2 linked regions of the Callithrix jacchus genome follow. The protein of the gene in region 2 binds, or shares a complex with, the protein of the main gene of each other region. Links are inferred from orthologs where the notes say so. Each region holds a gene or a part of one and is shown on either strand. Other genes may lie near its edges.

Evidence for each region.
Region 1: the proteins of RNASEH2A (region 2) and RNASEH2C are in contact, whole or in part, in a crystal structure (PDB 3PUF), measured with the Homo sapiens proteins. The link is inferred for Callithrix jacchus from reciprocal best matches to the Homo sapiens genes RNASEH2A and RNASEH2C. Residues at the interface, in NP_006388.2 of Homo sapiens: Thr11, Asn99, Ser102, Thr103, Leu106, Gly107, Arg108, Val109, Val196, Glu197, Lys198, Leu199, Glu225, Pro226, Val227, Phe228, Gly229, Phe230, Pro231, Gln232, Phe236, Leu245, Ala249, Glu250, Asp251, Val252, Ile253, Trp254, Glu255, Asp256; in NP_115569.2 of Homo sapiens: Pro33, Cys34, Glu35, Val36, Ala37, Val38, Ala42, Pro43, Val44, Gly45, Arg46, Phe47, Phe48, Pro50, Ala51, Arg53, Ser62, Phe63, Arg64, Gly65, Arg66, Cys67, Leu68, Leu134, Glu135, Thr136, Lys143, Gly146, Ala147, Thr149.

What each region holds. Positions count from the first base shown.
Region 1 is NC_133511.1:122,810,951-122,815,494, forward strand, and holds the start of RNASEH2C (ribonuclease H2 subunit C), read right to left. Parts: upstream 3,020-4,544; 5' UTR 2,962-3,019; coding exon 2,790-2,961; intron 2,625-2,789; coding exon 2,452-2,624; intron 2,376-2,451; coding exon 2,256-2,375; intron 2,017-2,255; coding exon of another isoform or gene 1,990-2,016; exon of another isoform or gene 1,387-1,989; coding exon of another isoform or gene 1,252-1,386; exon of another isoform or gene 1,160-1,251; coding exon of another isoform or gene 1,078-1,159; exon of another isoform or gene 953-1,077; coding exon of another isoform or gene 793-952; exon of another isoform or gene 628-792; coding exon 454-627; 3' UTR 132-453; coding exon of another isoform or gene 90-131; 3' UTR 1-89. Other genes in the region: histone acetyltransferase KAT5, read left to right, coding at 793-952, 1,078-1,159, 1,252-1,386.
Region 2 is NC_133523.1:11,630,553-11,635,032, reverse strand, and holds the start of RNASEH2A (ribonuclease H2 subunit A), read right to left. Parts: upstream 3,075-4,480; 5' UTR 2,985-3,074; coding exon 2,858-2,984; exon of another isoform or gene 2,824-2,857; intron 2,651-2,823; coding exon 2,579-2,650; intron 2,455-2,578; coding exon 2,328-2,454; intron 2,198-2,327; coding exon 2,110-2,197; intron 1-2,109. Other genes in the region: THSD8 (thrombospondin type-1 domain-containing protein 8), read right to left, coding at 4,218-4,417. UniProt on the Homo sapiens protein: Catalytic subunit of RNase HII, an endonuclease that specifically degrades the RNA of RNA:DNA hybrids. Participates in DNA replication, possibly by mediating the removal of lagging-strand Okazaki fragment RNA primers during DNA replication.

The sequences.
Region 1 (4,544 bases), on a different chromosome or scaffold from region 2:
AGTGGAGATGGGATGTGGGTGGGATCACCAGGGGGCTAAGGTCCATTATGAGGCTGGTTATAGCTGAGGGTGAGGAAGGGCTTCTAGTACTAACAAACATTCCAGGTCCCTGAATGGGGAGAATGAAGACCCTGCCAAAGAGATGTGAAGCCACTCAGGGCTATGCAGGGTCTGAGGATCTCACTGCTTCCCAGTGCTCACCTGTCTGCACGAGTCAGAGGGAGCGAGCCACTGTCAGGGTCAGTTACACTGGCTCTCAGGAATGGTCTCCCCGTCTTAGGAAGCACCTTGATGCACCTTCTCTCCTTGCATCCTCACAACCACCCAGTCAGGCCACACAGGTCTTAGAGCAGCTCACACTTCCAAGATCCCAGGTAGAAGGACTGATTTGACTGAGAATTCAAGCCTCCTCAGGCCTGGATCTGAGACGGGAATCAGTCCTTACTTCCTTCCTCACTGCCCAGACACCAAGCCTGGGATGGCAAAGGAAAATTGGAGGCACTTTCTTCCCCTGAGCCATTTTCTCTGCATCCCCTGCCTGTAAGCCTTCACCAGCTTTTGGTCTCCCTTGTGGTTGTTGCAGCTGTTCCTCTCAGTGCCCTCACACCCTCCACTGTGCTCAGCACACTGGGGAAGAGAGAATACACAACCATTAGTTCTTCCTGAGGGCACAGAACTGCCAAGTGGTGGGGCCACTATGGGAACTAGGCAGCCTGCCTTGGTGACCTGTGTTTTCAAATGTTGCTTATGTTCATCTGTGACATCTTACCCTCTCCTGCTCCATTGCTTTAGGCTATGAACTCTCCAAAGTGGAAGGGAAAACAGGGACCCCTGAGAAGCCCCTCTCAGACCTTGGCCTCCTGTCCTATCGAAGTTACTGGTCCCAAACCATCCTGGAGATCCTGATGGGGCTGAAGTCGGAGAGCGGGGAGAGGCCACAGATCACCATCAAGTGAGCCTGGCCCCACCTACCTGGGGGTGCATGGCATGGCCTGTCCCCGGGCTTTCTCACTCTCTCCTGGGGCTCCTGGGGACAGATGAAGGTTCTCAGGGGACCTGACCTTTGCCCTCCCACAGTGAGATCAGTGAAATCACCAGCATCAAGAAGGAGGATGTCATCTCCACTCTGCAGTACCTCAATCTCATCAACTACTACAAGGTAGGGAGGAAGGTAGGGGGAGACAGGTGTGTGGAATGCAGAGTGCAGGCCCCTGTGGGCTGACCACTTGCTGGTCCATTTCCTCTGCCCAGGGCCAGTACATCCTCACACTATCAGAGGACATCGTGGATGGGCATGAGCGGGCCATGCTCAAGCGGCTCCTGCGCATTGACTCCAAGTGTCTGCACTTCACTCCCAAGGACTGGAGCAAGAGGGGGAAGTGGTGACCAGGCACTGCCCACTGCAGTGGCAAGACAACAGCAGGACTGGGGCTGATAGCACGCCCCACCCTGTCCCCACTGCAACTCCCACAAAGCACTCTAAGGGAGTTGGGGCTGAGGACAGCTCCAAGAGGAGGGGACAGGCCTAGCAGGGGCCCACTGGTGCCCAGTACCAAGGCGAGCTCAGGGCTCAGGCCAACTCCAAGGTCAGCTGGCTACAGGCCCAGGCCTGCTCTGAACCAGGGACCAGAGGGAGCCAGGCAGCTGTGTACAGTGAGATGGGGGGTGGGGGAGCTCTGTACAGAGGGCTAGTATTGTAAAAATTTCTTTTGTAAAGTAGAAGTTGGGGGTGGGGTGGGTGCTGGCTGCAAAGGATTCTGGACTTTCTTATTCCCATTGCCCTGGCAATAAATTGTTTCTTTATGCCAGAGCCCTGCAAGGTTCTTGTGGGAAAGGGGCCCATGCTGGCTTAAGGCCTCTAAGGCGCGCAGACTCAGGTGCTGTGAAGAGCTCCTTTATTGGGGTGATGGAATCAGTGGCTCCAAAATGAAGAACTGGTTTACTGCTGTGAAGGAAGGGATCGTGGCTTTCAATTTCAAGCTCTGGTTCTCAGTCCTCGGGCACCTGTGCGTGAATCTGCAACAGGAGTCGCCTCTGCTGTTGGGCTTGTAAGACAGGGCGGCAGGCTGACCCCCACACCCGGGGAACCACCCAGCTGTTCAGAATAACCCCTTCAGGACATGCGGGGAGCCGCGCTTCCCATGCACTACACAGTAGAATCCTCCAGGCTCCGTCTGCCCTACTGTGCTCCTCAGCCCGTGTTCCAAAACTCCACCCAGGGCAAGATCCAGAAAGGGGGCTCCTTGTGTACTCACCGCTGCCGCGAGGCTGGGCCAAGTTAAGGCCCCACGCACTTTGGCATCCGGGCCAGGGATGGTCTCCAGGCCCCACAGGGTGAAGCGGGTGAAGCTGGCAGTGGCTCCGATGAAGCGGTCCTGGGGAAGGGCCGGCTCAGCATCGGGAATGCAGCTCCCGCCCGCACCCGCTTCCTACCCTATCCCTTTTGCTCACGAAGTCCCGCTCCAGCGGCTCCTCTTCTTGGTCGTAAGTCCCAGAATCCCGCGAGGGATCCGGGTTCCCCATCAATCCCTCCTCTTCCGTCACCATTACGTATCCCACGACGCCGGGCGGCACCGCCACCTCCTCGCCCCGCAGACAGCGGCCCCGAAACGAGACTTCGAGTCCTGGAGCAGGAGGCGCAGGGCCTCAGGCAGGGACTCGTGCTAGGCCCTGCGGGGCGAGCCCAGGGCTGCCCTCCCGTCGCCTCCGGGTGGACCTCCACCCTCAAAAGCCCAGACGAAGAAGAGTGCGGGGGCTGCCGGGAGCCGTAGTCCGGCCGCAGCGCTCACCCTCAGGGCCCTGGCAGATGGCGGGCGTGAAGAAGCGCCCCACCGGGGCGGGCCCGTCCATCGCGACCTCGCAGGGCAGCAGGTGCAGTGTGGCGGGGGCGGCGTCGCGCAGCGTGGCGGGGCGCAAGTGGACGCGGTGCCTCTCGATTGGTACCTCGTCGCCGCTCTCCATCCTCGCTCCAAGGCGACGCCGTTGCTCGCGCACTGAGGCCGAAGCTGGCGTGGAAAGCGCGCAGGGCCTCTTGGGAAGCTGCCGCGGAGCCTCACGGGAAGTGTAGTTCCCCCTACCCCCGACGCTTTCCCTGCAAGCCCTGCCTCCCTGGATCTAAGTCCCAGGGTTTCTCCTTTTTTCTTTTCTTTTTTCCTTTCCTTTCCTCTCTCTTCTTTTCCCCCTCTCCCTTCTCCTTCCCTCCCCTCTCTTCCTCTCCTCTCCCCTTCCTCTACTCTGTTTTTTGTTTTTTGACACAGTCTCGATTTGTCTCCCAGGCTGGAGTGCAGTGGTGCGATCTCGGCTCACTGCAATCTCTGCCTCCTGGGTTAAAGGGATTCTCATGCCTCAGCCTCCCAAGTAGCTGGGATTATAGGCACGCGCCACACCAGGCCCTGCTAAATTTTGTATTTTTAGTAGAGACGGGGGTTTCATCATGTTGGCCAGGCTGGTCTCGAACTCCTGACCTCAGGTGATCCGCCTCCCAAAGTGCTGGGATTACAGGCGTGAGCCACCGCGCCTGGCTGGGTATTTTTCTGTTTTTGTTTTTAATGACGCGTAATCATTGTAAAAATCTGAAACGATTCTGAAATGTACTCTTTACATTGGTAGGTATTTTTTTTAGTTTACTAAGAACATCAACCGTTTTCTCAAATACATTGAAAATGTTTTATCTGTGGTCTGTCTAAGGGTGATTTTTGCTGGACAAAGACTTATTTTTGTTGTTGTCGTTTGTCTGGTTTTTTTAGACAAGGTCTCACTCTGTCACCCAGGCTGGAGTACAGTGACAGAGTTTGATTGGCTCACTGCAGCCTCGACCTCCCAGGCTTAATTCATCCTCCCACCTCAGCCTCCCGTATAGCTGAAACCACAGGCCTGTGTCACCTCGCAGCTAATTTTTGTATTTTTGGTAGAAGCGGAGTTTTGCCATGTTGCCCAGGCTGGTCTTGATCTCCTGGACTCAAGTGATTTGCCTGCCTTGGCCTCCCAAATCATGCTGGAATTACAGGTGTAAGCCACCATGCCCAGCACAGAGACTTACTTTTTTGTAGTCAAATTTATCAACATTTTTCATGTCTTTTAGATTTCGCAAACCCTCTCTCTTTGGTTTCTCAACTCTTCTCTAATGTTTATTTGTTCAGATACCCAACTTAGACGTATTTTTCAAGTTCTCACATAAACTTACACAAAACTGGAAATTTAGATTTAAATTGCATTTAATTTATACATTCCTGGACATCTGGGAGCTGGCCTTGGTATTCTGTTGAACATAAACAATTTCAGAGAATATCACCATTGCACAAGGTCACTCTGTGTCCGCAAGGGAGAAAGACAGAAACAGAACCACTCTATCATCACATCTGAACGCTGACAAAGGTGAACACTGTCCAAACCACAAAAGGCACAAAACATCCCTGTTTCTCTCACAAGAAAGTGACTGTTGTTTCCTTACCAAGTACAGCATTGGCCTCCATCTAATCTCCCCTTCTGGGTAAGATTCGTTGATAGTCCATCATAGACATACCCCCATTTCTGACAACATCCAA
Region 2 (4,480 bases):
AACACTTTAGGGGCCAAAGCGGGAGGATCGCTTGAAGGCAGGTGTTTGAGACCAACCTGGACAACATATGGAGACCCTGTTTCTATGAAAAATAAAAAATTAGCTAGGCGCAGCAGTGAAGAAAGGCTTGAAGGAGGTGAGGAAGTGAATCCATGCAAAGATCTGGGGAAGAGGGCTCTAGGTGTGAGAACAGACAGTACAAAGTCCCTGAGTGGGGACCAGGTTCATCATGCTGGACCCATGTATGGGGGCTTATGGCTGCAGCAAAGAAGTGAGGATCCTGGAGCTGCTGGGGGAAACTGCTGTCTCCACGGCGATACCGTTTTCAGAAACCATCTTAATTTTTTTTTTTTTTTTTTTTTTTTTACCAGCTGACCACCTTTCTGCTCAGGCTAAACCTGAAACCCCATGGGCAGGGCCCTTGTCTGTCTACCCCAGTTACTGCATGGTCAGCTCTGCATTTGGGTCTGGTCCTCAGGCCCCTCCTTAGCAAGGCCTACTTTGCTCTAATTCCTTTCTTTCTTTTTTGTAGAGATGGGGTCTTGCTATGTTGCCCAGGCTGGTCTGGAACTCCTGGCCTCAACGGATTTGCTCACCTCAGCTCTTCCCAAAGTGCTGGGATTAAAGGTGTGAGCCACCACACTCAGCATACAGTTCCTACCTTGAGGTTATTTTGCCTTATTATTCTCTCAAAACCGGTCTGTTCTTTCCCTGAGAGCACTCAAGGCAATGCTGATTTATGCTTTTCTCTGATAATTTAATGTAATTTTCCCCAACTGTGAATTTTCCTGATTTAATTTCCACTGAGATAGGAGAATTAAATGTCGAGATGTGCATTTCAAAAAGACTCCCTTCTGTTGCTGTACCGGGAACAGACTAGAGGGGATAGGAGGGTGGCGGATGAGAGATGAAGCTCAGCAGGTGTCCAGGGAGTGGGGGGTGTCCTGGGCTAGGACAGAGAGAGTTGGCAGGTAGGCACATGTGGAGACTGAGCCTTTAGGATGAGGGAGAGATTAAATGGAGATGGGACTAGGGGCTACACTGTGGTCCTGAGTGAGCCACACATTTAGGCCAGGAACAGCAGCATGAAATCAACAGCAGCAATGAACATGCCTGAGGCACTCCAGATATATCTGATGCCCAATCTGCCTATTGCAGGGTTTTGCCCCATTTTTATTTTATTTTTTTATTTTTATCTAAGGGCAGGCAACTTCTTCTTTTTTTTTAGATGGGGTTTCATTAGGACCGGGTGCGGTGGCTCACGCCTGTAATCCCAGCACTTTGGGAGGCCGAGGCGGGTGGATCATGAGGTCAAGAGATCGAGACCATCCTGGTCAACATAGTGAAACCCCGTCTCTACTAAAAATACAAAAAATTAGCTGGGCATGGTGGCGCGTGCCTGTAATCCCAGCTACTCGGGAGGCTGAGGCAGGAGAATTGCCTAAACCCAGGAAGCGGAGGTTGCGATGAGCCGAGATCACGCCATTGCACTCCAGCCTGGGTAACGAGCAAAACTCCGTCTCAAAAGGAAAAAAAAAAAGATGGGGTTTCACCATGATGGCCAGGCTGGTCTTGAACTCCTGACCTCAGGTGATCCACCCACCTCGGCCTCCCAAAGTTCGAGGATTACAGTCGTGAACCACTGCGCCGGGCTTTTTTTTTATTTTTTAAATTTTTATTTTGCGCTCTGTTGACCAGGCTGGAGTGCAATGGCTCGCTCGATCTCAGCTCAGTGCAACCTCCAATTCCCAGGTTCAAGTGATTCTCCCACCTCAGACTCCCCAGCATGTGGGATTACAGGCACCCACCACCATTCCGAGCTAATTTTTTGTATTTTTTTTTATAAATGGAGTTTCACCATGTTGGTCAGGCTGGTCTCGAACTCCTGACCTCAGGTGATCCACCCACCTCAGCCTCCCAAAGTGCTGCGATTATAGGCATGAGCCCCTACACCCGGCCTCCATTTTTACTTTTGAGTTGGGGGTCTTCCTCTGTCACCCAGGATGGAGTGCTGTGGCATGATCATGGCCCACTGCAGCCCTGAACTCCTGTTCTGTCCCCATTTTATCCTGAAGTGACCAAATGGAGACAACTCAACAGTTAGCTCACCTGAGTGACGTTCACGCCCTGGTCCAATGCATACTGTATAAGCCCAGTGGCTGTATCATGGGACAGGGAGTTCAGGTTGTATTTGACCCTGTGGTGGGGGACAGAGCCCAGTTAACCTCATTCTAGGAACAAAGCCCAGCCAGCCCATGCTGGCTGCCCCTCTCCCACAGCCCCTCCCGGGGACCCCTCTCCCACAGCCCCTCCCGGGGACCCCTCACCGCCCAAGCATGCTGGTAGAGATGAGGTTTGGAGACAGCACGTCCAGCGCCCAGCCCACAAAGTTCCCGTCCTCCTGCATTTTCCCTAAAAGCCTTTCCCGCTCACTCTCCGATAGGGTCTTTGAGTCTGGGAAAGAAAAGGGGAACAAATGTTTCTCCCAGTTCCTGCCCTCCCCTCCAGTTTTCACGTTCCCCCCAGTGGGATTACACATACCCAGTAATCCCTTCCCAGACGCACACCCCGGGCTCACCTGCCACTTTCAGGGCTTCCAGATCTGCCAGGCGGGACAGGGGACAATAACAGATTGCGTAGACCATTGGGCCTGGGAAGGAAGGGTGTCAAATTTTTGGGAACCGGGGTCCAATCACTGAGCCCGTGAACGTTGCCACCCATCCCTGTTCTATCATCACTTCTTCTTTGGGAGCTATGACCACTACCACGTCCCCTCCCCAGGTGCGGTACAATCCCGACTCCCGTTTCCGGCATCCCGCTTACCACGCCCCTCCCCTCCCTGGCCCTAGGGGCGCACCCAGCACCGGGCCCCGGCCCGCCTCATCGACGCCCACAACACAAGGTTCCTTGCCGCACACCGCAGGCACAGGGGAACTCAGGCGACAGCGGCCCGTATTGTCTCTCTCTAGCTCGCTGAGATCCATGCCACCTTGGCCGCCGCCACCAGCTCCAAGAACCAAGTCCACAGGAGCCGATCTCAGCGCGCGTTTTCCGCGGGCCTTGCGGCGGCGTCTGTTTCCGACCAATCCACGCGCAGAACACGCCCCTGACGCTCCTGCCGCGGGGACGCTTACGCAGCCGACGCCGACGTCGCTGCTGCGCGCCCTCCTGGGAATTGTAGTCCTGAAGGGTTATGGCCGAGCGCTTTAAGTGTGGCGAATTCGTTGGACTGGGTCGCTTTGCAAGCTCTGCTTCACGGTCTCTGGGGCCCCGTCTGCATTAGCCAGTGGGAAGAGAGGGAAATAAAAGGGATACTGAGGCGCAGCTTGGAAGACCCAGCCTAATGAGGAACTAGAGGGTCAAGTATCACTCCACTCCCAGGACACGGGTCCCCGCATGACTGGGGATGATCCCTGAATCCCCACCTGGATTCCGCGAGTGCAGTCCCTTTTTCTGTACACATTCTAAGTCCCCTGTACCAGGTAGCCCCGCTTCCACTGGGCTCAGGCTTTAGGATTCGGAGTCCCCAAACTCCCTCCCTTTGTTGCTCCCTCAGGCCCACCCCAACTCCCTTCAACATCTGTCTCCTCTTCGTATCCTCTTATTCAGGCCAAGCCTTCCCCACCCCCAATGGAGATCCCAGACCTCAGTCGACTCCTGCTCAGGGTCTCTGCCCACCATGGAAGCTCACTCCTTCCAACTTAGGATGAATGTCCCCTACCCCACCTCTCGACCTGTCTCCGTCTCTTTTGTTTTCTGTTTTGTTTTTCTGAGACAGGATCTTCCTCTGTTGCCCAGGCTGGAGTGCTGGGGCGCGATCTTGGTTCAGTGCAACCTCCACCTCGTGGGCTGAAGCGATCCTCCCACCTCAGTCTCCCAGCTTGACTACAGGTGCACACCACACACCACCAGGCCCGACTGTTTTTTGTAGAGACAGGGTCTCAGTATGTTGCTCAGGCTGGCTTCAAACTCCTGGGCTCAAGCGATCCGGCCACCTCCGCCTCCCTAGCTATCCACGGGGCTCACAGCTCCTGACTCAGCTTCCCCCTAACCAAATCAACCTCAAGTCACTCAAGTCTTGGAGCTTCAGTTCTCCCTTCCCCAAACTCGCCTCATACCTGCCCCGCATCGCAAGGTCTCCCTCCCCAACCACCCTGGGTCCCGCGGCTTAGGTTTGCCCTGGCCCTGCCGCCCGTGGGCCCCTCTCTCACCTGGGCTCAGAGCCTCCAGTCGCAGTCGAAGGGTTTGCAGGATGGACAATCCCGTTGCCGGCAGGGCCGTATCTGGATCAGGTTCTCCTGGTTCATGAAAACCGGACCCGGCCTTGTGCTTAGCACCTCGCGGCTGCGCTCCTGCTTGCCCTGGTCGCAGAGACACCGCCAATTTCCCCACGGGCCAAGGATCGAGTCCTCGACTTCTAGAGATAGAAGGTAAAGCTAAAGATCCACGTAGAGGGGGCATACTCCCAATCCCCTCTCCC